7 linked regions of the Nothobranchius furzeri genome follow. Each later gene encodes a partner of the first gene's protein in a complex. Links are inferred from orthologs where the notes say so. Each region holds a gene or a part of one and is shown in the gene's direction. Other genes may lie near its edges.

Region 1 (4,150 bases):
GAATTTCCTCTTTCTCTGTCTCCGTTTTGCTCCCGCTCTGCACCCACGCTTCTTGCGTTTAGCTCATTTGGGATTTGTGGCTTCAGTTGAGGTAATATTTCAGCCTTTCCAATGTTAATCAGCTGCTCCTGATTGTAAACCATTTGTTGCCATAGTTACGCATCATAACAAATGCTCAAAAAGTGAAAAAAGCTAAAACATAGCAGTAAAAATCCTCCAAGCTTCACAGCACCAGAAACAGAAAAGTAAAGTGTCCAAAAAATACAGTTTTTTTTGAGAAACTAGAAGAAAAATGCCCAAGAAAAGGCAAAACTTACACATAGTCAACTCCAACATGCAGCCGCCCAGAGCAGCGCAGTTCTGGAAAGACAATAATTATACACTGTACACAAAGCTAAAGTACGGAAGGTTGACAACTAGTGTGTGTCAAAACCATACTGCAAAATAACTTGGTTATTATAGGATAAGAAAATAATTAATGGAATATGATTCATTCTTTTGTAACTAGCAGATGTACCAATGCATTGTTTAAGTAATATGGCAACACCCGTGTATGATATTTTTCTTTTCATTTATGACAGCTTGTCACATCTCCATAACAAAAATATGCCTTCCTGGACGTTTAAAGCTGGGTTTTGTGTAAATAATTCGTAGATGTGATGAAAAACAAATGACCGGGCCTTGACTTGAGTCTTGCTCATCTCTTGGTCCAACTGACACGAAGAATAAAGTAAAAATTTAACAAACAAAATTACAGTAAATAATAACGAAACATAATCAATTAATTTGCATGCAAATGAACTACTAAGAACGTGCAGACTTTAGTGGGGTTTTTTGCGCACGTAAAAGTGCGCGTCTGTTCGTGTGCGTGTTTGGGTAGATAAGGGTAAGCACATAAATTGTAGTATTAAATAAATACGTATAATTCATAATTTTAATGGATGCAACCAATACGTAAAGACAATGCAAACATATTCTGATACAACTCATCTGTAATATAAAATATTTACCAGCTAATTTTAATGAACTTTTGTTTTAAATTAAGCAGCCACTATTTTATTTTTGTACACGTCTTCTAAACAACGTGAGTATTCTCAGACACTCCCTTGTACGATTGAACCGTCCCGTCATACCTCGCGTGGCCAACGGCTCTCTACCACCGACTGCCTGCTCATTGAATTACAGCACTCATCGTGTTCAGATACATTTGGGCAACTATTTTCTAATCTAATCCACACGGATTAAAAAAACACCACCACGCAATCTCGGGCTGCTGTGTACTCGACTCCGGCGGTGGAGCTCTCCTGTGCTCGCGGGTTGGAACTGGTCGGGGAAGCGGGGGGAAGTACGGAGCTTGTCCCGAGTGATGGAGCTGGAGTCGGCTAGTAACCGAGGCGACCCGGGAGCGGTGGGAGATTCGCTGCAGCCACAGACCCCAAGCAGGCATGAAAAGAGCCTGGGACTGCTCACGACCAAATTCGTGACCTTGCTACAGGAGGCGAAAGACGGAGTGCTGGATTTGAAAGCTGTGAGCATTCAACCCGGAGTCTTTGTTGTCAGCTAGCACATGTCATACAGAGCCTACCCGCTGTCGTTACTTTCGCTAGCATATTAGCTTAGCTTAGCTCTGTCATGCTAATTTGAATGGATGTAACCTGTTAGCTTCGGGGTTTACAGTATTTGAACATTTGTGATACTCTAACTTTGTTTATTTTGGTGACTCGGTGTGTTAGCGTCCCATAGACACGAACCGTTCAGTCAGACGTGAAATTAACTTTGAAAACAACACCGGCCAACTTTTCAGACTCGCTCTGCCCCCTGCAGATTCAAACTCTCAAAAGTGGGTCAGCTTTTGTTGCTAGTAACATAGTGTGGCATCTTCACACTTGAGCAGTTTCTTTTTTCTGATGGGTATGGCCTTTTCTCTCTGAACGATAAGCACCCCCACTGCGTTAGTTTTAGGAAATATCTTAAATGTGTTGTTTTTTTAATGAGACCTGCCCACTTCCATTAGGTACACAAACGCAGCATAGCTCCTTATTGGTTTTTATCAAGTCCGATTCCAAAAACGTGCAAATCTTTGTGTTTAAACACGTAGAAGTAGTGGATATGCCTCCTCAGTAATGTCAAGATGCTGAGAACTAACCTACTTATTTGATGCAGTACTACTAATACACATGTCCTGACAAACATCTGAATTCAGATACCTCAGACTTGTCAGATTAGTAATGCTCCAAAACAGAAACATTTATAAACACAGTGCCACCTCTGAGCCAAAGTCTAGTAAACCAGGTGGTGTTTAGATTAACTTGACTTCATAATTTCATAAACTAGCTTCCTGGCTGCGGGCACTTATGGTTGCATTGCACTCTGCAGATCATAAAATACCAGACGCTCAGATGTTTTTCTTTCTCTTTCGTTCAGTCCAACTGACTTAAGTCCAGCTATTTGAAAAAGCTTAGACTTATCAGCTCCTTGCAAATTGTTTTTATCTCCTAAGACCCAAAGACTTGGCTGGGCAGGAAGTGTAGATGTCACACCCAGATGGTTTGTAAAATATATCTTTTTTGTGTATTTTACACTCAGCCATGACATTTTCTGTGCAAAAGAGCCAAATGTGTGTTTGTTATTCATATTTTATTCATTGTATTTGTCCTTTTTCTTTCAGGCAGCAGATACCTTGGCAGTGCGGCAAAAACGACGTATATACGACATTACTAATGTCCTGGAAGGAATTGGTCTTATAGAGAAGAAATCTAAGAACAGTATTCAATGGAAGTAAGTTTTATTTGTATGTATGGCTTCATGAAAAGACTAGAATTTATAACTGCAGTCTGTAATAAATTGTTCTTAGCCTTCATGTTTCATGTTTTCATGAAACATCAAGCCTTCATGTTTTCATCATTGTCTTATGTAACAGGGATTACGTCTGAATCGGCTGCAGTTTTCTGAACACGATTGTCTGAGCCTCACCTTTCAATTTTTAAACTGTAGTGATGTTTGTTATATGTAATCATACTAACATATCATATGCCAATACTTTGAGGATATTTATGACTTTGAGGTTTTGCAGCAGTCCTTAACACTTAAAGAGCAAGTCACCCCCTACCAGATTCTTACTCCCCTCCCACTTCCTGTTTGAAAAATGCAACAAATGCTGTTGCCTAGCAGACCGAGAGGGTGGAGCCGCTAACAAACACACACAGGATCACAACGACATTGTGACATCATATGGAACCAGCTAACATTCTAGGGTACCTCTTAGCCAATAGCGATGACAGATTTAAATTCAAATACAGTGCAGAGTTTTTACCTGACAACGGCACAACACTGACAGTTTTAGGCAGAAAATTTAAATTTGAACTAAAATGCACTAAAGTGCAAAACTATTGACTACACGTGTCTGCAGCACGATTAGACACGCATTTATGTAGTTTATCAGAAAATAAGTTGATTTGGGGGTGACTTGCTCTTTAATGTCCTACATACATAAAACAATGCCGTAAGGGAAATGACTATGAGCATGGCTGATTAGCATGTCTTCTACCTGAGTTAGACGTGAGATGAATCTATCTGCAGCTTGTTTTGGCTACAAGTTCATCGTTTATGCTGGGAAAAAGGTTGACGGCGAGTTTTCTTTGCCTGTTGAATGTGAATGACCACGTGCTTACCAATGTGTTTCAGGGGTGTCGGCCCTGGCTGCAACACCAGGGAGATTGCAGATAAGCTGATTGATCTAAAGGCTGAGCTAGACGACTTGGCTGTCCGGGAACACGAGCTGGACCAGCAAAGAGTCTGGGTTCAACAAAGCATCAAGAATGTCACAGACGACTCCAACAACAGCCCATATCTTTCACTGCTGTGTGTGCGTGCATGCGGATGTTTAAACTTTTTCAAGAGAGAGTTTTGTAATAATGTGGACTGTGAGCACCTGGTCACCTAAAGGGGTATTCGACCAATTTTGCACTTAAAAGTCACACAGATTATCACTCAGTCTGTAAAAAGTTGTGACTTTTCACATGATTTAAAGCCAGACATCTTAATGTTTCACTGCTAGTCATATTTCAAAGTTTCAGTGAGAGTTTGATGTTTTAATTTTGCTTTCTCGTCTATTTTTTTTAGCATAAATTGCTAGTTATGTCATGGTCTA
Region 2 (3,165 bases), on another chromosome or scaffold:
AACTGACCCTCAGCATAAAGCTCTGAACATCTGACTTAGGATTTGTTATTTTTAATCATTCTTTTTGCTATTTTTAGGATTATTGATTCAAAACTTGATTATCTTCACAAAAAATGTTTTGCTTCTCAGTAAAAAAATATATATATATAAAAATATAATATAATAATAATATATATAATATATATATAATTAATCTAGTTAATTAGAGGCTTTCTAATTAGTCGCATTTTAATCGTTCGGGAAAAAGTGCCCTCAAAGCTGCACAAATGTTACATAAATGTTAAAAATATAGCTTATCTCACCTTTTGTAAAGTTTCCGGTGCCACCGGGCAGCAGCAGCAGCAGCAGAGACGATCTCTGCCCGCGACACGGACTCCGTAGTTGTCAGGAAGGTTTTGTTTTTAACAAGTTAAGAGAAGAGGGTGACGTGTTTCCCAAATACTGCATTGGTCCAAGCGAGACGATTTCTTTCTGTTTTAGTACCCGTTATATCAGAGCACTGTGTTGTGTGTCAGTGATATTCGCTCTACGAGGAAATCATGCAAGGACAAAGGTTCCGCCTTGCTTGAAATACAAGTTGTGATTAAATGTGTGAATTTTTTTAACACATAATTGTTTTCTAATTAATTGATCATAATTAACGTTAAAGTACCACCCCTAATATATATATACAGTATATATAAATCAAAGGTTACAACAGCTAAGCTCCTGGGAGGTTAATAAAATGTGAATTTGATTGCAGCATCTGTTCTTGTGTGAATATTTTCAGGCGTGAGCAGCGACCGTACCATTACACTGATCCCAGTCCAGCCGTGTGACTCTTCTGGCGTCGTCACAGCTCAGTTTCTGCTGACCGCCTCTCCGAGCCGGAACTTCACTGCTGCCTCGACCTCTGACCCTCAGATGGGGAACGGGCGGCCTCGATGCACCGGGTCAATCGCTCTGTTCTTCAGGAAGGTGAGAAAGATTTTCACTTGTTTATTTAAAAAAATAAACGATGATTGTTTATCTTCTGCTGGACATTTGTCTTTCCTCTGACTAACTCTCTCTCTCTGTCTCCCCCTCCCTCCAGGTGTATCACCTGGCCAGTGTACGCCTGAGGGATTTGTGCCTGAAGTTGGAAATCTCCTCAGAGCTGCGAGGAAAAATCTGGACATGTTTTGAGCACGCGCTGGTTCACTGCACTGAGCTGATGAAGGATCGACATCTCGACCAGCTGCTGCTGTGCAGCATTTATATAATATCCAAAGTAAGAACGATAACTAAGAGTTAACGAAGCAGCTGTGTAGGAAAATGCCAGCCAGCAGAGTGTTTCACTGAACAGCAGCTTCTGCGCGATCGTAGAGAAACTATTTGCAACACGTTAACGAACCAAGAACCAAACGTCTTCTCAGGCTGAATGAAGTCAGCCGAACACACAACTAGTCAGACTGAGGACTCTGGGATTCACTTTAATGATGAGGAGATCCAAACAGTGGTTATATGACGAACAACATCAGCCAGTCTGGGCTCCTTTTTGCCAGTGAGTTTCTGCTGTCAGTTTAAAAGCCTCCACTAAAATATTACAGACCAAAAATGTGTATTGGTTAATAAAAGCGAGCTGTCCTTGATGCCCTGGGTGCAACTTCCTGTTATCAAACATAGAAAAGCTGCTCGTTTTATAGATTTTATGAATTAAAAGGATTCTGCTCTCTGTGGTTATGCTAAAAATCCTGGCAGGTCGGTTATTGGATCAGCTGGTGTAACTTATGTTCCTTTAAGCACGGCTTTAATGCTCTCCTCTCAGATCACCAAAGAGACTCACACCTTCCAGGACATCATGAAGTGTTACCGCAGCCAGCCCCAAGCCAGCAGCCATGTGAGAAACACAAAAACCGCTGAAATCTAAGTTACACCTCGCATCTGCTGGAGGCTTACGCTGTCTGTGTGATCAGGTTTACCGCAGCGTCTTGTTACGGCGGACTCCCAAAGCGCAGCCAGCTGACGAGAACATGGAGGTGGATGCTGTGTCGGGTGGAGAATGTAAGATCAGACACACGCTTCCATACAAACACATTTAGATCTCCTCTAAAGGCATTTTAGCCAAAAATATAGGTCAATTTTTTTTTTTTTTTTATTTAGCTAGAAAACTGATGTTTGCCTCTTCAGACTAAATACATAAACATTAACAAATGATTTTCCAGGTTTGGCCAGCAAAGTTCATCAGGGTTCATCATGAACGTCGCATAAAATAATACATAGATGACTGATTAGACCAGGGGTCGGCAACCTGTTCCCATCAAAGAGCCATTATTACCCGTTTCCCACAGTAAAGAAAACACGGAGCCACAGCAGCCGCGACGTTGTGGGCGGGGCCTACCCTCAGACAGCAGAGAGCTGCTTTAACCAATCACAACAGGTGACAGCAGCCAGTACCGGTCGCTCGTGTACATAAAAGCTGTCTTTCATAAGAAGATAATCAATAAAATGATTTATATAAAATGGATCCAGAAGTTGTAGCCCGTCTCTGCCTACAGTATTTTGATATTTTTCACCCTGTTGGTGGTTTTACTGAGCAGGTGCCACTTTTGTTGTACGTTTCTTTTTAAAACATGTTTAGACTGTTCAGAATACAAATCCAGGCTCTGTCACGTTTGATTGTTGTAATTAAACTTTGTAGGTGGGGAAGGTCAGAAAAGGATCCGATCAATTTGTTTTCCCCTCATTTACAGTGACGGAGATAACGGCGCAGTGCGCCTGGCTCTGGTGTTAATCAAGTTAAATTTGTAACAATTTTCACCAGAAAACAGAACAGTTAAAAGCAGGGCTTGTGTTGTGTTGACCGGACAGTTTCCGTATTTGGCCGTTTGTTTGACGGAGAAAGAATAGAAAGAATTACCCCAACGCATGCAGACGAACTGACATTTTATTCGTTAGGCACATCACAGATGTAGCTAAATCACTCAAGAAAAGATTCCCATCTGAACATCTGAGCTGGACTCTTAGAAAATGTTCCCTGATGATGAAACTTTGGCTGAATAGCGTTTGTTCCTGTCTCCAGTGTGGCGACACATCCAGGGGCCGTCTGAGGAGAAGCCCAGAATCTCACATTGTCTTCAGCTCAGAATGCGCCTATATGATTACGCACAAGCGTGACCCGTCAACCCGGTCTCACAGTAAGACCGG
Region 3 (4,281 bases), on another chromosome or scaffold:
AGGTCAGAACCGGACTGATGTGGTCCTGTTTCCTGGTCCCAGTCAGGAACCTGGCTGCGCTGTTCTGCACAACCTGTAGGCGACACATTGATGACTGACACAAACCTGCATATAGAGAGTTGCAGTAATCAAGCCTAGAAATTACAAATGCATGCAGTACCTACTCCAGGTGGGCTCTTGACAGCATAGGCTTGATTTTAGCAAGACGTCTCAGGTGAAAGAAACTGGACCGGATCACAGAGTTGATGTGTGCATCAAATTTAAGTCCAGCATCAATTTTCACCCCCAAACTGGTGACAACTGGTTTTGAGTAGGGAGAAAGAGGGCCAAGATCAACATGACGATCCACATTCCTGCTGTTGGGGTGAAAAACAATGAGCTCTGTCTTTCCCTCATTCAGATGCAGAACGTTGGCCATTAGCCAAGACTCCACCTCGTTAATGCAGGACACAAAGGACTGGATATAGTGACCTTTCTCCTGACACAATGGAGCATCAATCTGGCAATCGTCAGCATAGAGATGGAATGATAGGCCATGTTTACGAAAGATTGACCCCAGAGGAAGCAGATAAATGGCAAACAAAAGAGGACCAAGGATCGATCCCTGCGGGACCCCCCAGCGGAGCCCCTCCCAAGAAGAAAAAACATCACCCAGTTTAACGCAGAATGTTCTGTTGTGGAGATCCAAACCAATCCAGAGCAGACCCTTTGATCCCAACCCATCGTTCCAAGCGATCTAGTAGAATCGCGTGGTCAACTGTGTCGAAGGCTGCCGTCAGGTCTAACAACAGAAGCACCACAGATGTACCCTGATCTAGTGATAGATAGATGTCATTTAGGACCCTCAGTAGAGCCGACTCTGTGCTATGGCCAGACCTGAACCCTGATTGGAAAACCTCAAACAGATCAGCGTCAGCTAAATGTGAGACCAGCTGCTGATAAACGACTTTCTCAAGCAGTTTTGATGTGAAAGGCAGGGTAGAGATAGGCCTGTAATTTTCTATCACATAGACATCAGCATAAGGTTTCTTCAGGGTCGGCCGAATAACTGCTGCTTTCAAAGCAGCTGGGACCACACCTGTGCAGAGGCTCCCATTGATAATCTGACCAAGTGATGGGCCAAGACACGGAAAGGCAGCCTTCCAATTGTATACATTGTATGCAAATGTATTTGTTATTTTTTTAAATCAAATTGTTCTCTTAAGTGTTGGTGCTGCTGTAACAAGTGAATTTCCCTACTGTGGGATTGTTCTATTCTATTCTATTCCATTCTATTCTATTCTATTCTATTCTATTCAGATATATCAGCTGAAATTTGGCATCATTCAGTGTGGTGTGTGGTATTTTTTTCAATCGAATTAAAGAGGAAATAAAAGTGACAGGCCTAAAAACTATTCCTGGTAGATATAATAGCGACTAATGAAAAATCCTCCTCCTACTCCTGCGCAACAGATGGCGGTAAATGCATCCCTGCAGCTGCCTGCTCTCCACCAATCCCAGGAGAAGTAGGTTGTGGGCACGACTCACGTCACTGCTATGGTTACGTCACACCAGTGTTGTCCAATCAGACGCCGCTGTAGCGAGACGCCGCCAAGATCAGATTGTGAGAGGCACTGCTGAAAGCGACAGGCTAGCAGAGAGCCGTGGAAAGGCTAGCTGACGGTGTGCTAACGTGAAGTGCTCTGGTAAGATGCATCCACTGTAGGGTGGCTTCCCACCCGGCGCAGACCAGAGCTCATATACAAGTGTTTAAACGGCCTTTATGTCTTGGTCGACATGAAAAAGTGTTGATATCACACGAAGCTAACAATGGTAAACTTTCTCGATGACAGCTGGTAGTTAGCTTGCTGGCTAGCTAGTGGGCTAACAAAGCGCTGGAGGTTGCGATTTCTCATTGATATCGAGTTAGCTCGTAGCTTTGATAACCAGTTGCTAACTAGCGAAGTGTTGATCATCGATCTACTTAACGATCTTGTCATGGTTTCTATTACCACGGTTATAACTTACTAAACAGAATATGCAACAGGACTTGTTTAAATAGTCCGCAGACATGAAGTTTGAAATATGTAACTCATCTGAATGTAGAAAGAGCTTTCACTTTCTTTTACTGTAACGAATTAAAATAAACAAATTTTATTTGTTTAAGCCACATATTCATTTAAATAAAAATTTAAAGCGTGATTAATTGGCTTGAAACATTTCAATGAAGTTTTTAACTTTTTCAAAAGTGTACTTTTTGCACAAAAAGCTAAAATATCGATTAATTAGATTTGTTTTGTTCTGATTTACTAGGTTGTTGTGACCAAGAGGCCCATGAATGAGATCAAAACTACTGAGAACGTTTAAGAGAATGTGATCAGTTGTAGCAGATAATTGCGGAATCCCAAAATATAAAATTACTTTACATTTGTATAACTTGTTTATTTCCGATTAACATTATATATTAAATTTGCTATTTCAACTGATTCCTTTTGCAGGCCCAGGTCCCTGAATTAATGGTGTCAATATAGTTTTTTATTCACTTCTTTGACTTAATTACTTTAATATGAACTCCTTTTAGAAGAAATGTAGATCAAATCTATGGGCTTGATCCACACATTATGTTGTATGTTTATTAAATTGAAATGTAGTACCTGTTAACATACTGTTGTTTATTTACCATAATATGCAGTTTTAAAATGTTAGGTTTAATTTAACTTGAAAACTGGTTAGTGCATTATATTCATGACAAAAATGTTGTACAGCTCATTTTGCTTGCTTTTGTGATCAGTTTCTCTGATGAGATGAATGATGTTTAATGGTTAGTCAGCTGCCAGACTCGACCAACAGGCAAATCCTGGTATCAGTTTTTGACATAGCGACAAAAAACTGACCTGAGGAAAAACAACTCTTTAATCATATGCTTAAGTTCTTTAAAGGAATAACTTTGATTTATGAATAAAATAGTTTTAAAAGTACATTAGGATTGCTGAGTTTGTTTCCTGTTTGGATGGGATTTAGACCTCCTCTTCCTCCATTCTCTAATGCCAACAACAACAGCCGTCGAAGAGACAAGAGAGTGCACTCGTAAGTGCACGGATTCGCAATTTAAACCCCTCTAATCGTGCAAAACGCGCAGTGCTTTTTTCCAATATCAGTTCTTACTTAAAGAAGGCTATAATCTGCAGCTCGGACCAGAAATCTCTGAATTTTCTGCCAATCGTGTGAAAACGTGCATAAGCTAACTAGCAAGCTAAGGAGCAGCAGGCTGTTAGCAGTAACGGTTAGCCGGCTGTAGTCAACAAAAGATTGTTCATTATTACTGACATGTGGTGTGAAACCTGCTTCTGTGGTGGACTGATTTACTATCTGTAACTATATTTTAATCTCCGTGGAGAAAAATCAACAGTTTCGTCAAAGTTGGCACGTTTTCGTGACCTGTAGCAGAAGTTGGACGATGCCTCTCCTCCGGACGTGATCGGTACCTGAAGTAGGCCTTGTGCACACATAGCTTGGTAAAAGTTGTGGGCATCAAGTGAGGGTTGACTGTGCTTTTTTGTGTTTACATCTAAAGGCTAATGACGCAGCGGTTTGTACAATTAGCTGTAATTTCCGCCAGGTTTGTTTTGCTAACTGAGGAAAAAGTGGAGTAAACATGATGATGGAATTAGCTTAGTGTAGTGTGCTGTGCTCATAGCCAACCATTGAAATGGGCCTGGGTTCATAAATGAGTGCAAAAGCTCATTCAAATCCATCTGTGCCGTGGGGATTTATAGGAAAATGTTATAAATAAGTGAAGCTTGAAACTTTTGCTCACAGCTTTCATTTCTTCTGCAGGGGTCTGAACACTTGAGTGACAGAAGGAACAATTTTTTAATCTGAACTAAACTCCTTCAGGTCCTTTGGGATCATGGCTAAAGATGTGAGTAATTTCCCTCAATATTTTCATCCATATGCACATTATATCTTGTAGCCAGATGAGATGGTTCTTGTTGTTTTAGCATACCTATTATTCTAAACCATCATTAATGTTTGACAATAAACCCAAATTGCAAAATGATCCAATTACCCATTTGGTGTAATTTAAGGAGATATGCACACTTAAGCATCCATTATTGCATCACTACTATCTTATATTATTTTTAATATTCTATATTTGCAGCATAATGAGTTTTGTCTTTTACAGGCTGGTTTGATTGAAACAAATGGAGAGCTGAAGGTTTTCATCGATCAGAATCTGAGCCCTAGCAAAGGTATAACTGAACCATCTTTTGACTTTGTTTTTGTTATTTTCTCCCAGTT
Region 4 (4,195 bases), on another chromosome or scaffold:
AGAGTGAGTTTATTTTAGCAGTCACACGTCACATCAAGTAAAAAGCAAACAACCATAGGGTTAACTACAAATGGAAAGACGTGGATTTCCAAATAAATTCAGACAAAAGAAAAAAACAAAAGTATATAGGCTAGAAGTACAAGACAAACTATAAGAATAATCTTTTGTGTTACACTATATTAAAAAATCAGGACAATATTAAACCTGAAGCAAAAAACAGCTCAACACACAAATAAAAGCATTTCCTCACCTCTCATGAACGTCAGGAGAAGCAGGAATTTGTGTGTTTTTCCTGCACAAGGTTCCAAATATTAATACCAGCAGCCAAATACTCTATCAACCACATTTTCTTTATTTCAAAATAAAACTAGGTAACAAAGTCTTTTACACATTTTATGTATATTTATATGTCTTTATTTATTATGATTTTTACAAAAACAGATATATGCACACATGTATTATTTCTTGCAGCTACAATCCAAGTCTTTCTGCAGCATTTTAGGCCATTACTCTGATTTCTAACAAGCTCTTTGCATAATTCAAACAAGCTTTAATTCAGTCGCTGTTATCTTTATGCTGGTAGTCTAAAAATACTTGTGCAATTATGATGCAATAGGAAATTGCTCATTTTGTAATCAGATTCAAAATTGTGTGAAATCGCACAGTATAATTTGATTATTATTATTATTATTTCATATTGTTATTGTAATTATTATTTATAATAACGTGAGTGGAATTAAAGAGGCTTTTATTTTCATCAGAATACAACGATCCTACTTCCGCTTTTCCGTCTTTAAGAAGCACACAGTAGTCTAACAGTGAAAATGGGACACATGAGGGACACCTACTATTAGAAAACTGTAAAATGTCTCATAATTTGCATCCAAAATTTTAAAGGCTTACAGGGGAACAAAAGAAAACTTTCTATTGTTATTATAGATAGTTTGTCTGCTAACCACTGCAATAAAAAAAATTCAGAGATACTAATGCTAAGATTGCATGTCACGGGGAAAATGGGAAAAACACCGGTGAAAGTCTAAATGCCCACTAGATGGCAGCAAATTCCAGTTTCTTAAGGCGGCAGAGAAAGTTCGCTCTCAAACACAATGCAAATATTATTATATCACAAAGATGATGTAATATTTTGAGTCACAGATGTTTTATCATGCCAATTATGAGCAACATACATTTCACAGTTTTGCACACGAACCCTACATGATCTGCGAAGAACTTCACGAGGAGCTATATGTTTAAGATATGAGTGATTAAATGTGCAAATGTTTGTTTTATGGGAAAATAGGTTCCACATCTTCTGTCACCAACATCCCCAAAGGACCAAAGCCCCCGCAGCCCCGTCAACCCGTCTGAACCCACCACATCCATTCTCCCGAGGAGTTGTGAAAGTGAACACCCGCCTCCCTCAAATCTCATCCAATGAAGAGTACGCTCGTGAAAAATTCAACCAATCGGTTACGAACAGTTCCTCCTCAATTGACCTATTAGCTTTGAGCATTCACTTCTTTTTTTTGGCAGCCCAGTTTTGACCAATAGGAACCGAGGCCGCCTGCGCAGAGGGCTGGGCGCGAGAATCGGCGGGATGGACAAAAATCATAACGCCACGGAGCTGTACGCACAGGGGAAAGATTACGAGAACCCGTTCTGACGGCGAGTAATGAAAGTAATGTGTCGGTTCCTCTATCTAAATTCCGGCGTTTTGTTGTGTAACACTACATTTTTAAGAAAGACGTACCAGCAAGGGACACAAGGACGACTTTCATATCTGCCGAGACGATTTTATCGGAAGTGAAAATGGCGTTTGCACAGAGAGCAATGTTATGAAGACAGTTAGCCCGTTAGCTAGCCGCACAGTTACCGCAAACAAAACAGCAATGACTAACATCAGTTTCTATGGATAAACCTCTGTTAATGCGGGACTTCAGAAAATTTCCAAACACAGCTTCGTCTTTGATAATATTCAATCATCCTACTGGCTATGGACAACGTCAAGTCACGCAGGTAGGTGATTTTATTAGATATGGTTCACTTGCCATCTTTTTGTTTGCCCCTTGTGATCTTATCAGCCTATAAATGTAATAATTTTGGATAATTCAGCCTGAATGTTGTGGAAGCAGGGTGGGCGTTAACGTTCATGTGCACCTGAACATCTCAGAAGATCTACTGTAGAGGGATATAATAAAGAACAACAACAATAATAATAATAATAATAATAGCATAATAATTCAAAAGAGCATTACCCAAAAGTGTAGTACTGGCTGAATTAACCCTAAATATTTTTGTTAGCCTCAAGGATAACCTGCTGACTTTATTATAACTTGAAAGTCACTTTGGACAAAAGCGTCTGCTAAATACATCAACATAAATGAATAAAAAGCAAGACTAAAGTGCATACTGCAGTTTACTACTATTTCCCCCCTTCATTCCTTTTTTTTACTGCAGGGCAAAAAAGACGTGGAGAAATAAACCTATAAGTCCATGAAGCTCTTTTAATGTACTCTGTCTCTGAGTTGAGAAGTAATTTAAACCAAAAGCAGTAAATACTTGAGTCATGTGATTCCTAATCAAATGTTGCCATATTATGATGCAAAATGTCACATTGATTGCTGTATTTATTCGTTGGTTACTGATTATGAAAATCTGTGTTTTTGGCATCTAACTCACAAAACCGTGTCAAACAAACTAAATTGTTGAAATGATCATGTTAAACTGTTTTTTGATTTTTTATTAATTTAAATAACCAGCAAAACTGTCGCAACTAAAATATAAATCATCACTGAAATCTTTCTTTTGTTTATCAGGGTCAGTTTCAGTCCTAAAAAATTAGGACATTTTGATATTATTGGTAAAAAGTATTCCAGGTATTGCTATGTGATTTAAAATTATGCTAAGCTAAATGCCAGGACTTTATATTAGTGTGTTTATTTTGTATTTTGAACCAGTGGACCGTTAGGGCTTTGCCAAGCCTTTGACCACACCTCCACCTTATTCACAGAGGCTCACTCTCATGCACCTCTGCTACTGAAAGGCTGCTGTTGATGCGAGATCACCAGTTTCATTACACCTCTCCTTCCTGTTCGACTTTACGTCCAGACTCGGTCACTTTTCTCCTGCTCAAAGTGAGAAAATCTGGCCTCATAAAGGTTTCTACAGCAAAGAACGTCTTTTTTTCTTACTCAGATACAAAACCTAAGTCAGTGTTGCACAAATCCGGTCAAACAAGTAGTTAATGCCAACATTCTGAATTAGATTTAGCATGGTAAAACTGGGCTTTTGTAATCTCCCAAGAATGCAGTGAAGAACTGAAATGGGACCTGGTTTAGTTGTTGAGAAGAAAACACTCCTAAGGCACTGATGGTGAGCAGAAAACAATAGTGTTTTTACTTTTTTCTGCTTTTTTCACCTGTGTGTTTTAGCACTGATGAAGACGACGAGCTGCTTTCCACAGATCCAGAGAGTAAAGAAAAGAACAAAGATAAAAAGACGCTGTGCAAAGTCAAGTGGTCTCGGGATGAAGTGAGTTTTTCAAGTTCAGACTAAAAATGTAAATGACTGCCGCCCTAATATGTAAGAACAACTTTAATTGCACCCTCATTTAGAAAGATCAGGGTTAACATTTAATTCTCACCGTCTATATTTTCTGTTATTCTATTTTTTAAGGATGAAAAACTGAAGAAACTCATAGAGCAGCATGGAACTGAATCCTGGAAATTAATCGCTAACCTTTTTCCTGTGAGTATTAAACAGAAATCATTTTTAATATCTCCTTCTGACTCTTACCTGCACCAGCTGCATTTGGATGTGTAACTGCAAAGATACAGTTAAACACAGCTGTCATTGTAGCTGACAAAAGGTGTTACACTTTGTGTCACAGGGGAGGACAGATGGTCAGTGTCAGCACCGCTGGCAGAAGGTGCTCAACCCCGAGCTGGTAAAAGGACCGTGGACAAAAGAGGAGGATCAAAAGGTAAGTGGAGCTGGGAGGTTCTGTTTGGGAGAGAGGGATGACTAAAGAGCAGAAGGATAGCAGAGCTGTAGGGAGTTTGTGAAGAACGTAATATCTATGACACTCAGAGAACCTGTTGTGTCCTCACGCAGCTGTTTTCCCGCTTAAATTGGGTTTATTTATCCCCCACCCGCCCCTTTTCCTATTTGTGTGTGTGTGTGTGTGTGTGTGTGT
Region 5 (4,327 bases), on another chromosome or scaffold:
TTAATAAAGCTTTAAAAGAAATTGTAATGTTTAGTTGCTAGCTGCTAATATCTCCAGCTGTAGTTCGTTGACAAAGTTTCAGTTGAACACAGAAAATAAATAGATTTGTTGAGTTTTAATAGGTTTAAGTGAAAACGTCTGGCTTTCACATTATTTTGACTATGCTGTTAACACTAATTTAAAACCTGCATTACTTTTAAGTGATATAATTTATTTAGAAAGTTTATAAGTTAAGAAACAAGTAACCAAATTGAATATGGGTTCTTTTTGTTCTTTGTCTAAATAGATTTTTACAAGACGGACTTAGTAGAAACTCTTGCTCTATTTTTTAAAACACTTGTTTCGTTGAAAGAATGGAGAATGTGCGCCCTCTGCTGGCAAATAACAGAACAACACAGGTTTCCAACTGCATGCAGACAAGAAGGGAGTATTTGCTGCCCTCTAGTGTCTGAAATTTGATACTGCACATCCGATTTTTAAATCCATTTAGAAGGGAATATTTAGCCTCTTTAGATTTTTCAAAAATTCAATCACATATAGTTGCTAGCTCCGCTGGCAATAAATAGAACGACACTCTAATTTCCAACTGAAATCTGGTACTGCACGTTCCTTTTAGACATTCTGAAGAGAATATTTAGCCTCTTATTTTAATAAAGCTTAAAAAAAATCCATCTCTGTTTTAACTGCTAATAGCCCCAGCTATAGCTAATAGCTAAAATTTTGTTGTACACAGAAAAATAAAATAGATTTGCTGATTTTTAATTTTTAAGTAGTTTGTACAAGTGAACTAGGCCTGGGACGATAACAGATTTTGCAGGACAATATATTGTCCAACAAATTATTGCCAATAAACAATATTATTGTTGACATTATCGAGACCAAAATAATCACTTATATAATTTTAATATATCATAATAATGCAAGTACACCCTTTAAAATGCAGCAAATAAAACTCTTGTTAACATTAGAATGTTCAGAATCGAACTTCTAAATAAATGAATAAAACAAACAAACAAAAAAAAGAAATAAATAAAACGGACTTTCACTCACTGTTAGAAAATATTGCACCAAAAACCATAAAATAGATCCTGTATTGGGTCATCAAAGAAAAAGGGTTGGGAACCACTGACCCAGACTCTTCGAACTTGGACCAAATTGTTGTACACAGATAGCAAAATCTGTTCAACATAGATTGTGATATGTAAAACCACAGATCTATTTGTAAAAACACCGATTTTCTTTTCTTTCACAAATGTTGGAATGAAATTGTGTAAAATTGTACAAAATGTTGAAATGTATCTTGCCTGGCCATGGAACTCGCTGTGTGCTTAGCACCCCTAAACCTCTGATGCTAGGATCGCCCCTGACACTTATTATAAAATTATTAGTTTATTCATTTTACCCCCAGGAACACGGCTTTGGTGTGTAAGAGTGACCTCTTGTGGTGTGTTTGTGAATTTACAAGGCTTTGTCAACATTGACTCCTATTCGTTGTCACGGGTCACGTGATTATTGTGAAGATGGCGTCTCCGAATGGAGGTAAATTTTAATTCCTTACACAGATACGCTGTTAAAAAATGTAAAATTTAACACTTTAAATCACACAAATTATTCCACGAATGTATTGATGATGTAGCTGAACACCCAGAATTCAGAACTACACATATCAGCGTTGTAGTCCGACTTCTCGGAGGTGGTTTTGTTTGACTGAAGGCTCCACTAGCCCCGGTGTTGTTAGTCCACCAACGTTCAAGGAAGAACAGTAGACAGCTGGCTGCAGACCTTCCGTAACTCCTGATATTTTAAATACTACTAGCTTTTGAGTTGCCTCTTTGTTAAATACTGGCCTAATAATTAATATTTACGACATTTTTCCAACATTTTGAGGCATTATTTGTTTCACATCAACATATTTTGAAAGGTTTTTGAAAGGTTATATATATATATATATATATATATATATATATATATATATATATATATATATATATATATATATATATATATATATATATGTACACACACACACACTATGTAGGGTCATGTATTAGGAAGCATAATGCTAACACAAATTGTTACACTAAATATTGGTTTTAAGAATAGTTTTTGAATAATCAGCACACAGTTGTTGTCACAGCCTAGCAGAAATGGTTGTATAGGGACTTGAATCAAGCAACATTTAAAAATGAAAGGTATGATAAATAAACTAAACCTCCCAAATATTAGTAATTTTTTTAAGAACAGCTGATTAATCAGTATTTATCTTGTACACATATTTTGTTTTAATACAGCCAACATATTGTATTAACTGTTGTGGTTACATTTTGACATTTGTTTGGCTGTAGTCATATGGGCCATTCCCATCTGTACCGGGTCGGTCCGGGCCGGGTAGCGTTGGTTGTTTACATATCTGGGTGGCCTGGTATTTTTCCGGACCAACCAAGGCTCATTCTCAGCCCTCTTCTCGAGGGGGTCTGCTTCAGGCCGACCAGGGCCAACACACCCACTGCTGACAGCAAATTCACACCTTCCATTAGAGCAAGCCTCTGATTGGTGGGTAGAATCAGCCCACATGGGCGTAAGACAAGGATGTGTGGAATCAACCGGGCCAGGATGGGGCCGACTGGGGCTACCCGGCCCGGGCCGACCCGGTACAGATGGGAATGGTCCATAAGTCACACATTTTACTTGTATTTACATCAAGAAGATCACATTTTGTTCTAAAGCTCTGAAATTTCTGCCTGAATTCTGAACATAATTTTACTTCCTTTTCTTTGCCAGGTGATGATTTTGAAAGCTCTTTGCTTAGTTTAGAAAAGCTGGACAGAGCGTCACCAGACCTGTGGCCTGAGCAGTGTAAGTTTTCATCTCCTCTGTGCTTCTTTATGGTCCCACAGTTTAACCTTATCTGTCCTGTCATTTCTCACACAGTACCCGGAGTTGCAGAATTTGCTGCATCCTATAAAAACGTAAGATACGTTTTTTGTCATTAACTGAGATTAATACATTAAATAATCATTTAGATTTGGCATTGCCGTATAATATCATTTATTTTTATTACAGCCCATTACAAGCTCACCCCCTAAGTGGATGGCTGAATTGGAAAGCGAGGACATCGAGATGTTAAAAGGTTGGTACAATTGTTTTTTTTTTTAATATATGTTTAATTAGAAAGATTTTCTCTGTGCCTGCAGCGTTTCATGTTAAAACTGTTGTACTGGTTAGTGTTTCCATAAATATATAATCTTGTCAAGGAGAAACTGAGTTGATCAAACTGGAGCTTAAAATCTTTGCCTTGTAATCACTCTGCAGAGCTGGGTAGTCTGACAACAGCTAACCTGATGGAGAAGGTCAAAGGACTTCAGAACCTGGCTTACCAGCTGGGTTTAGAGGAGTGTAAGTACAAAACACACAAACAACATGAAAACATAGGCTGTGATGTGTTCGTGTAGTTTTTAGTTTTCCCAATCAGCTGTTTACGTCTATCACCACCAGGTGGTGCTAGTAGCCTTTCCACTACTACGTTTAGTTGCAGAATCAGATTTACTTTTTGTTTGTTCAAAATAGGCTAAAATCACATGGATGTTATTTATTATTCAAAATCAGAGTAGATGTTATTGAAAGTGCAATTGTAATTTAGAGTCTGCATAAAACAGGTTGGCCGTAAGATCTTTAAAACAAGGATTTAGGTCAGTCTTGTTAAATGTAAACAAGTAAGAAATGAGTGCATGCCACCAAGAGCTCACACAAGCAAATGCTCAAGAATATGATGGATGCACAAGCTCTTGTTTTAATCCATTCCCTCCCGCCTCCATTGTAATAATCCTTCTGGAGTGTGGATTAGAGAGATGTAGCTAAGTGCTGATATTATCCTAAAAGAAGATAAAAATGTTTTTAATGTTTCTAGCGTAAGAGAATCGTTGTACACCTCCTCTTCAGCGACATGTGTAAATAAACTGAAATGGTAGCAAATTGTGTAAAATAATGTGAGTTTAAACAGCAGGGTAGATGGCAGCCATGATGTCGGTTCTTTAATGATAATAAATAGTTTGTAGAAGGTTTAATAAAACTTTAATGCCACTTTAACAAGAAAATGTTCATCTATAATAAAAAAATCACCCCAGAGTGATCTACATTTGGTGGTAAAGCAAATCAATATTTTAATGTTGCAGAAATCAGATTGATTCATTTTGTGAAATAATTAATTTTAGAAATGATTTGTTTGCCTTGCCTCCAGCAGAGGAAGTGTGTAGTGGCTCTGGTATGAAGACGCTAGCTGTCATAGGTGCAGGGCCGCAGCCTCTGCAGTCATGTCATGTACTCGGGG
Region 6 (4,180 bases), on another chromosome or scaffold:
AATTTCCCCTGCATGGGCACGGTCAGGGTGCAGCCATCAGCCTCTTGTGTGTTGGAGCCGGAGCCCAGAAACGAAAACCCCCGACAAGGAGAAAGGAGATCCGTTGACAGACAGAGGGAAGCCAGGATAGATACTCTGCCCTCAGATCTGTTCGCTACAGCTTCATTTGATGCTCTGGAGAGGGACAGGTACTCCAAAGACAAAGCAGACAGCAAACCCTGTTCTCCAAAGAACTTCCTGTCCAGCTCTGATGGAGATGAGCACTCAAAGCTTTTCAGATCTAGAAAGATAAGTAGTTAAGAATGTGAGCTTCTCATCAAAGGTAGCAACAAAATCACCAGCATGCTTACCTTTAAAAACAAAAGCTTTGTCCATGGTGTCCATTGGTCTTCAAACACCTGGCCAGCAGCAGGTGGCTTTAAATGGTTGAAGCTGCTTGTTAATTGGCCCAGCTGGAGGCTGCTCATCAGTCGGGATCAGAGGAAACGTTTTCTGTTTGGGCCGATGTGTGTTTGCAGTTCTGCTTTAAAAAATACTGTTTCATTTATAAAATGATTAGAATGGCTTTTAAATCTTTATTGAAAAGAAAACAAGACAAATTTACAGCACATGATCATAGTAATCTGCAACTTGGGGCCACAAGAGGCTCTTTGTGTCTCATATCTTGGTGATTAATTATATTTATTTTCAAAGTTTCATAATAAAGGTCTTTGTTTGGTTTCTGTCCAGTTTTATGCAAGTTTATATACATCTATAACAATTTGATACTAATGACACCTCTGTCGATTGGTTCCATAGCTTATTGTCCCTGATCTTTTACTCAAATTCACCACAAAGTAAATATATTTAAATAAAGTTATGGCGAGTATTTAGGACTCATTTAATTAAACATGACACATTGATAAAAGGGTTATCTGGCAAGTTAGAGAAAGAAATAGAGGTATAGCATATGTTAGATTTCATAGTGGAATAGTTTAGTGTTTATATTTTACCACAATATTGTTTTTACACTTACAGAGGGAGTGCCTTTTAATTTGACCTCCAGAGGAAAATCACATATTTGGCTAAATATATTGATTACAAGCCAATTACATTAAGTGGATAAAATAAATAAATATACTAGGATTAATCAGAAGAAAGGACAATTGAAGAAACGTGTTTCTTGTTTTTGAGTTAAGAAGTTTCGAGAGAAATTGTGAAATTTCTAGAATAAACAAAAGCTTGCTACGCTCCTCGTTCTTTTATTTTGAAAGTCTGGTGGGAAGTTTGACATCTTCCTGCGCCTGACTGGTTCGACCGCGCAGATCTGGTGCGCATCTACGTCACTGCTCTGGTCGAACGAGAGTGAAGGGCGCGAGATAGAAATAAGAAGCGCGGTCGGAATGGGCGCTCAGCGGCTGCTGCTGTCGGTACACAGAACCTCCAGCGCCGGCCCCTCAGAACCACACCGGGACAACGGTCCACTCCAACGTAAACACCTCTGTGCGCGCGCGGCGGAAGGAGGGAATATCGCCGTGTGACAAAGTAAACAAGTGAAGCAGAGAAATGTCTTCGTGGTCGCGCGGGTAAGAGATCGATCGTTGTTGCCGGATGTTGTTTTTGACAGTAGCAGAACTTGTTAATCTACTGATGTCTGGACGTTACTGCCTAGCTTAGATGCATTTGCAGCTGCAGTTAGCGGAAGGGAAACACGTTAGGAGGAGTTTTATTGTTGGAATTGTGACTCACGACTGCCGCCCTTTTCCGGGCTGTAATCACGAACAACAAGTCTGAGCAAATGAATCCTTGTCCTGCCCTCAGCAGTACTGTTGGTTGTAGCTAGTGAATTATAAATAATATAACCATGAAAACGCGCAAGTCCGCTCGTTTAGCCTCCCCCCGCCTGTATGGCCTTAGGGCGGGCACTGGCTAACTCCTGGTGTCTTCATTAATCAGCTGTGCACATGTGTTTCTCAGCGAGGATGCAGACGAGGCCATGCATCAGGACACTGATTCTGATGTGGCCGAGCCCAGGGATGGAGGGAAGGTGAAGGTGAAGTGGACTCAGGAGGAGGTGAGTGTGCTGACTTGTCCCAGATCACGTCGTTGTGGGTCAGCAGACCTGAACACACTGGGTTGTCTTTACAGGATGAGAAGCTTAAAGTGCTGGTTCTAAAACTGGGTCAGAATGATTGGAAACGTGTTGCCAGCTGCATCCCAGTGAGTCCCGCTGTTCTGGTCTTTAGTGTTACCGTCTTCGAGTCACTCCTTTAGCTCGTTCGTGCCTCTCTTTGCATTCTTCAGACTCACACCGAGCACCAGTGTCAGCACCGCTGGTTGAAGGTCTTGGATCCAGAACTGGTCAAAGGTCCTTGGACCAAAGAGGAGGATGAGAAGGTGGGCTGCGTTTCGTGTTGTGGATCAAGTGTAGAATATTTCTTGAGATTGTCAAAAAGATGCAACTGAATTGTTTGTTTTTCTTCCAGGTCATAGAGCTTGTTAATCTCTACGGTAACAAACAGTGGGCGATGGTAGCCAAGCACCTGAAGGGCAGACTGGGAAAGCAGTGTAGGGAGCGCTGGCACAACCACCTCAACCCCAACGTGAAGAAGTCATCGTGGACTGCTGAGGAGGACCTGATCATCTACAAGGCCCACTGTCTGCTTGGAAACCGCTGGGCCGAGATCGCCAAGCTGCTTCCTGGAAGGTCGGAAAATGTTGCTTCCTGTTTTCTAAACAAGTGGGAGGATGCACTGATTTGTGGTTGAAGCTGAATCTTCTGCTGAAAGGTCTTGTACATCGTTTAACAGGACGGATAATGCTGTGAAGAATCACTGGAACTCCACTATAAAACGAAAGCTGGAGATGGGCTTCTACGCCAGCGAGGTTTTCAGAGCAAACGAGCTGGAGGAGCTGCTGGCGCGCGTTAGTAAAGACGTGCTGGTGGGTCGTCTCCCTCCACCAAGCCTCCTACATCAGCAGCAGTCTCACGTGTTTCTGATTCGAACATCTTGTCTGTGGTGAACCAACAGGTCGCTGGATGCTCTCAGGATGGTTCGGACAAAGAAACGGATTCAAAAGTCCGACTTTTAGTAAGAAATCATCGCATCTATTAAAAACTATGAGCTTAAATGTTGCATCAGCCATCAGTCCTTATGTTTTTACAGAAGTCACAGGAACCATCGGCTCCTGCTAAGAATTCCCACGAAGCAGAGTCGTCCAGGGCTGTCTCCTCTCTAAAGGACGTGTCAAGCCCCAAGACCGATGTGGACTCCACAGGAGAGACGAACAGTTCCAACTGGGTGGTGGACAGCTCTGGTTTCCTCTACCCTACAGGCCCTGTGCTGAAGGAAGTGCTGGACATGGTAGACGGGGTAAATACCCATAATTCACCAGAAAAATAACAAACGCATCTCTGAAACTAACTAAAGTTTAATCGTATTTGATTATAAGAAATGAGAAGCAACTCGTTGCTCCGGTTTAGTTAAATAACCAGTTGCAGCAGAAAGATGATCACCGGTGCAGCAGTTAAATCCAGGTGGTGCCTTTTTCTGTCCGTGTTGTTTTAAAGGATTATTCTATTCTATTCTATTCTATTCTATTTAGTCGACTCTTTGTAAAATCTAGCGGATACCAGACTTGTAAATAAAACGATATCTCCTGTTGGTGGAGGACTTGGACGGCTGGTGCAACCTGGCAGCCTTCGACTTGCCCGAGGACAGCCCCAGCCCCGAGCGCCACCAGTTCCGTCTGGAGGGCAGCGCCTTGCAGGAGCTGAGCAAGTGCAGCAAGGGAGAACTCATCCCCATCTCCCCCGGAGGAATCACCCCTCCCTCCATTCTGTCCCGCCGCAGCCGGAGACGCATCGCCCTGTCTCCAGACGTCAATCGGTCCATGACTCCAAAGAGCACCCCTGTCAAAATCCTGCCCTTTTCTCCGTCACAGGTGAGGAAAAGCTCCATGCTGACGGCACCGACGCTGGTTACACGTCTCCGTCATCCGGGTCATGGTAGTCTGATGAAGGCAACTGAACTTCTTCGGTTCTTCGCCTAAAAGAGGCTTAATGGCAGCAGGACAGAAATAAATGCACCGATATGACATTTTTGGGCCGATATCCAAATACTGACATCAGTGCTTCTAAAATCAGCAGGTTTTGCATAGAATGAACACATTAAAGCTGAAGAGATGATTACAATCACGG
Region 7 (4,106 bases), about 6.3 Mb from region 1:
CCGAGATATGTATATAAACACATGTTTCTATGGTTCCTCCCACGTCCGTCAGCGGTGGGTGGGGTTTGAGCGGGTGAGTCTGACCGACTTCCAGAGAGGTTTGTTAAGATGAACGGCTCTCTACAGGGTCTCGGCTCTCATCATTCACTTTGAAAACCCGTTCAAAAGATTTGATTCATTCATGAATGTCACATCACTACCCAGGTCAACGAGGGAGTAACCAGAAAGAGCACGCTCGAGAACCTCCTCCAGGAACTCCAAAAAAAGTGGGTATAGGCTGCAGCAGTTTGGTGCATAAGCACAAACCAGTCTGGACCCGTCCTGACTGATCCTCATCACCTGAAATAAACACTAAAGTAAGATTAGTCCAACCCAGTCTTTAATAACCAGGGCTTATTAGCTGGTGTGTAATAGGTACCGCGGTACCAGAGTCCTGAACAGATGGGCCTAGGAGTAAGCAGGAAATAAAATAACAGACTTTTTTTAAATAAAAGCTTTATTGAACATGGTGATGAGTATACACACAAATTGCATGCACAATTAAACAAAATAAAATAACAGACTTTTTTTTCAAAACTTTATTGAACAAGGTGATAAGTATACAAACAAATTGCATACAAAATTGAACAAAGATGAAACATATGCCAGGGGGTGCACTACAGAAATGTTACACACATCCAAATAAATTATAGGTGGTGCAAATAGTTATAGTTTTTAAAGCTTTTTTGTTTAGTGATCCACTAATCAATTTTATGTAAGATAGAGTGTCACTATAATAGTGCTTGAAATTAGGTTTTTAGTTACTATACTTGCATTTGTGGAGATAGAATTTAGCTAGAATAATTAACAAATTTATAACAAAGTATACATCTTCCTTTCTGTGCTTGCGAAAAAAACAAAATACATTTTCCCATTTTAAAACAAAGTCCTAGCTGAAATAAAACAACAGACGTCACGGCTCTCTGCAGGCTTCCTTGCGCCACCTACTGGTAAAAGGCTGTTACTGCACCTTGTGGGCCAAACCTCAAACATGTAACACTTGATGAGGGACTCACGAGCAGCTTAACAGAACCAGTCTGAGCACCAGAGCCACGCTTTGTTGCTGAGTCGTGTTGGCTAGCACCGCTAACGGTCACGTGCTTTAAAAACAATCAAGTTTGATGGCGTTTCGGTGGACGTCAGAAAACAAGAGCAACCGGAAGTAGTTGTATTTGGCTTACGCTACGCAAGTTTAGTGGGCTGGGGTGAGTTACGTTGCTGCCGCGATTCTCTAACGTATGCACGCACACATGTGACGTTCCCTCCGTGGTTGGCTGCGCTGTGTACGTCAAAAACGTCACAGCTCGCGCATCTGTCAGAGGACATTTAAATGGCTACACAGCCGATCCGCGCAGCACCGTAATAACGCCGTTACTGCCGCTACAACTGCGCCAGCCTCGTCCGCTCCACCCTAAAGGCGCGCTTTGTCCGTTCGGTTCGGTTCGGTCCCGAAGACGAACATGAGCGACGAGGAGGAGCGCCTTGTGAAGATCCGAACCAGGTTCGAGGATCTGTGCCGAGCTCTGAACATGGACGAAGAGGCGAGTACCGAAGCGTGGAGTAGCTACGAGAACATCAGCAGGAACTTCACTCTGGAGGTAAGCAGGTGCTGGTGAGGGTTCGGTCCATTCGGGCCAAAACGTCTGACATGAAATGTCATCTAGGTCTCCAACTCAGCAGGAACCGCCTCGTTCAACATGGCAGCAGCCTTTTGCAGATGCACGCATCTCCTTTTTCTGGATGCAGCACCAATGAGGTCTGGTGTTTCTTCTGAGCTATGACTTCAGGTGTTTTCTCTCTCTCTCTCTCTCTCTCTCTCTCTCTCTCTCTCTCTCTCTCTCTCTCTCTCTCTCTCTCTCTCTCTCTCTCTCTCTCTCTCTCTCTCTCTCTCTCTCTCTCTCTCTCTCTCTCGATATATGTAGAGAGATGGAGATGCATACAATAATATAATACTCCTCTCTCTTACTAAATAGACAGGCAGATAGACCTAGGCCGGTATGTGTAGTTGTTTTCCTGAAATACACACACACACACACACACACACACACACACACACACACACTTGTATTTATATGTTTATGTGGACCTCTTTTGACTTCCATTCATTTTAGTGACTCCACTATGCCGAACCTATACCCTAACCCATAACCAGCTGGTGCAGTAATCAGAACCGTTGTGTGTGCAGGGCAGCGAGCTGCACTGGCTGGCCTGTGCGCTCTACGTGGCCTGCAGGTCTTCGGTGCCCACGGTGGGGAAGGGGACTACTGAGGGGAACTACGTGTCACTGACCAGAGTCCTGCGCTGCTCTCACATCAGGTTTGTGTGTTTGGTCCATAACTCGGCTGCTAGGAGGTCATGTGACGGGATCTGCTGAGCGGTTCTGATGTTCTTCCAGCCTCATCGAGTTCTTCAGTAAGATGAAGAAGTGGCAGGACATGGCCAAGCTGCCACAGGACTTCTGTCAGAGTACCGACAAGCTGGAGCGGAACTTCACCGTTTCAGCCGTCATCTTCAAGAAGTACGTTCCCATCTTCAGATCCATCTTCAAGACCCCATCAGAGGAGCTGCTTCGGGTCCATCGCAGTCGCAAACAGAGGTGGGTCCACGTGACCTCCGACCCTTCGTTAGAGTCCACCTGCTTCCTGTTCTGGGTCTGGTTGGCTGAAATCACCTTTGCAAGATTTAGTTTCCCATAGATTAAACACAGAATTGAACTGTTAACTAGGATGACCTTTGACCTTTCCTTAGGCGAGGTAACTTTATTTGTATAGCACATTTCAGGCATAGAAGTAATTCAGCGTTCTTTCCAGGAGTGACAACATAAATCAGATTATAATTTAAAGACACAAATAAAATTAGCTGTAAGACAAATCTCTGGGTGGAGTTCCCATCATGGTCCCAGTGTCAGACACGCTGCTGCTGGGAGGCTACGGAAAAACAAAGAAATTGCAAATATTATCGTAGTGTTTAAGAGCAGCAATACACGTGTGTAACGGTAAGCTAAAATGACATAATGTTAAAACTGCAAGGTAAAGAGAGACAGATGGTTAAAAATAACTCACCTGCAAGGCTCTAGCCTGGACCGGTGCAGGCTGGTGGAGGACTACATCAGTCTGGTTTCTTTGGTAGATTTAGCCTGAAAACAATAATAACATCACGTTGTTGTGGGAGGTTAGTAACTTAGATCATGTACAAAACTAACTGTCTAATTCATGTGCTTTATAACACGGCAATAACACAGATCTGACTGCTCTCAGAACTAACTCAGGGTCCAGAATCAGACATGTTTTAATGAGAACCGGACTCAGAACCAGTTCAGATCCGGGTCAGGTCTGCAGCAGGAGGAGCTGCTCCTCAGTGTCCCTCCAACTTTGCATCAGCGCTGAGATTACTAACTCTACCTGAACCCATCTGTGACATCGTCACACACACAACACTCACTCCGAGCCTGCGGCATTGTGGACTGATATTAGCTAAATTATGCGAACCACGTCTCTCTTACTTTGTAATTATAAATATAACAATTATAGCTGCAAAATCGGGGAACAATCTTTAGAAGCTGTTAAAAGCAGTGTTGGGAGTAATGCGGTACAAAAGTAATTAATTACTGTAATGCATTGCTTTTTGCTGTAATGTGGTAATGTAAGGCATTACAGGGAAAGAAAATGGTAATATTTACTCGGTACAATTGTCAGTAACGCGGTAATTACAATGCATTTTTAAACCCAGAATCAAGACGTGTTCCTTAAAAATTCAAATTACGGGAAACCCGAAGAAAGATCCAGTATCTGCATATATGACGTCATTTATGGACTCAGCTTTGCGGGCAGAGAGGACGCAGCGGTAACGGCTCAGCTGCGTCCTGCACGCGGCCGCTGTTATATTCACAAAATCGCTCCACTAAAACAAAATAATTCACTTGCGATCGTTCATATCAGCGCATGTTCTCTGGTATTTTGTGCTTTTCTGACGTGCTTTGCCTCAGCTGAGTTCATAATCTGTGCCCCGGTGATTTCAACTCATTACTGCTGGAGCGCCGCGCATGTGAAGATCCCTTTGGCTGATCG

Evidence for each region.
Region 2: e2f4 (region 1) and rbl1 share a complex: the UniProt entries of both Homo sapiens proteins name them as parts of the DREAM complex. The link is inferred for Nothobranchius furzeri from reciprocal best matches to the Homo sapiens genes E2F4 and RBL1.
Region 3: e2f4 (region 1) and tfdp1a share a complex: the UniProt entries of both Homo sapiens proteins name them as parts of the DREAM complex. The link is inferred for Nothobranchius furzeri from reciprocal best matches to the Homo sapiens genes E2F4 and TFDP1.
Region 4: e2f4 (region 1) and mybl1 share a complex: the UniProt entries of both Homo sapiens proteins name them as parts of the DREAM complex. The link is inferred for Nothobranchius furzeri from reciprocal best matches to the Homo sapiens genes E2F4 and MYBL1.
Region 5: e2f4 (region 1) and lin52 share a complex: the UniProt entries of both Homo sapiens proteins name them as parts of the DREAM complex. The link is inferred for Nothobranchius furzeri from reciprocal best matches to the Homo sapiens genes E2F4 and LIN52.
Region 6: e2f4 (region 1) and mybl2b share a complex: the UniProt entries of both Homo sapiens proteins name them as parts of the DREAM complex. The link is inferred for Nothobranchius furzeri from reciprocal best matches to the Homo sapiens genes E2F4 and MYBL2.
Region 7: e2f4 (region 1) and rbl2 share a complex: the UniProt entries of both Homo sapiens proteins name them as parts of the DREAM complex. The link is inferred for Nothobranchius furzeri from reciprocal best matches to the Homo sapiens genes E2F4 and RBL2.

The regions. Positions count from the first base shown.
Region 1 is NC_091744.1:86,783,007-86,787,156, reverse strand, and holds the start of e2f4 (transcription factor E2F4), read left to right. Parts: upstream 1-1,232; 5' UTR 1,233-1,366; coding exon 1,367-1,528; intron 1,529-2,668; coding exon 2,669-2,778; intron 2,779-3,684; coding exon 3,685-3,846; intron 3,847-4,150. UniProt on the Homo sapiens protein: Transcription activator that binds DNA cooperatively with DP proteins through the E2 recognition site, 5'-TTTC[CG]CGC-3' found in the promoter region of a number of genes whose products are involved in cell cycle regulation or in DNA replication.
Region 2 is NC_091743.1:73,525,326-73,528,490, reverse strand, and holds part of rbl1 (retinoblastoma-like protein 1), read left to right. Parts: intron 1-769; coding exon 770-957; intron 958-1,072; coding exon 1,073-1,249; intron 1,250-1,786; coding exon 1,787-1,858; intron 1,859-1,934; coding exon 1,935-2,022; intron 2,023-3,165. UniProt on the Homo sapiens protein: Key regulator of entry into cell division. Directly involved in heterochromatin formation by maintaining overall chromatin structure and, in particular, that of constitutive heterochromatin by stabilizing histone methylation.
Region 3 is NC_091754.1:25,779,381-25,783,661, forward strand, and holds the start of tfdp1a (transcription factor Dp-1), read left to right. Parts: upstream 1-1,457; 5' UTR 1,458-1,685; intron 1,686-2,941; exon of another isoform or gene 2,942-3,066; intron 3,067-3,347; exon of another isoform or gene 3,348-3,494; intron 3,495-3,816; 5' UTR 3,817-3,889; coding exon 3,890-3,901; intron 3,902-4,165; coding exon 4,166-4,232; intron 4,233-4,281. UniProt on the Homo sapiens protein: Can stimulate E2F-dependent transcription.
Region 4 is NC_091747.1:51,691,746-51,695,940, reverse strand, and holds the start of mybl1 (myb-related protein A), read left to right. Parts: upstream 1-1,372; 5' UTR 1,373-1,993; coding exon 1,994-2,016; intron 2,017-3,431; coding exon 3,432-3,531; intron 3,532-3,675; coding exon 3,676-3,747; intron 3,748-3,889; coding exon 3,890-3,982; intron 3,983-4,195. UniProt on the Homo sapiens protein: Transcription factor that specifically recognizes the sequence 5'-YAAC[GT]G-3'.
Region 5 is NC_091758.1:32,967,516-32,971,842, forward strand, and holds the start of lin52 (protein lin-52 homolog), read left to right. Parts: upstream 1-1,437; 5' UTR 1,438-1,520; coding exon 1,521-1,539; intron 1,540-2,781; coding exon 2,782-2,856; intron 2,857-2,931; coding exon 2,932-2,969; intron 2,970-3,063; coding exon 3,064-3,130; intron 3,131-3,312; coding exon 3,313-3,396; intron 3,397-4,327.
Region 6 is NC_091743.1:41,536,611-41,540,790, forward strand, and holds the start of mybl2b (v-myb avian myeloblastosis viral oncogene homolog-like 2b), read left to right. Parts: upstream 1-1,361; 5' UTR 1,362-1,545; coding exon 1,546-1,565; intron 1,566-1,956; coding exon 1,957-2,053; intron 2,054-2,127; coding exon 2,128-2,199; intron 2,200-2,283; coding exon 2,284-2,376; intron 2,377-2,465; coding exon 2,466-2,686; intron 2,687-2,789; coding exon 2,790-2,922; intron 2,923-3,011; coding exon 3,012-3,071; intron 3,072-3,146; coding exon 3,147-3,353; intron 3,354-3,651; coding exon 3,652-3,924; intron 3,925-4,180. Other genes in the region: uncharacterized protein, read right to left, coding at 1-280, 351-384. UniProt on the Homo sapiens protein: Transcription factor involved in the regulation of cell survival, proliferation, and differentiation. Transactivates the expression of the CLU gene.
Region 7 is NC_091744.1:80,482,515-80,486,620, forward strand, and holds the start of rbl2 (retinoblastoma-like protein 2), read left to right. Parts: upstream 1-1,281; 5' UTR 1,282-1,499; coding exon 1,500-1,637; intron 1,638-1,703; exon of another isoform or gene 1,704-1,756; coding exon of another isoform or gene 1,757-1,795; intron 1,796-2,224; coding exon 2,225-2,355; intron 2,356-2,434; coding exon 2,435-2,635; intron 2,636-2,843; exon of another isoform or gene 2,844-2,966; intron 2,967-3,101; exon of another isoform or gene 3,102-3,175; intron 3,176-4,106. UniProt on the Homo sapiens protein: Key regulator of entry into cell division. Directly involved in heterochromatin formation by maintaining overall chromatin structure and, in particular, that of constitutive heterochromatin by stabilizing histone methylation.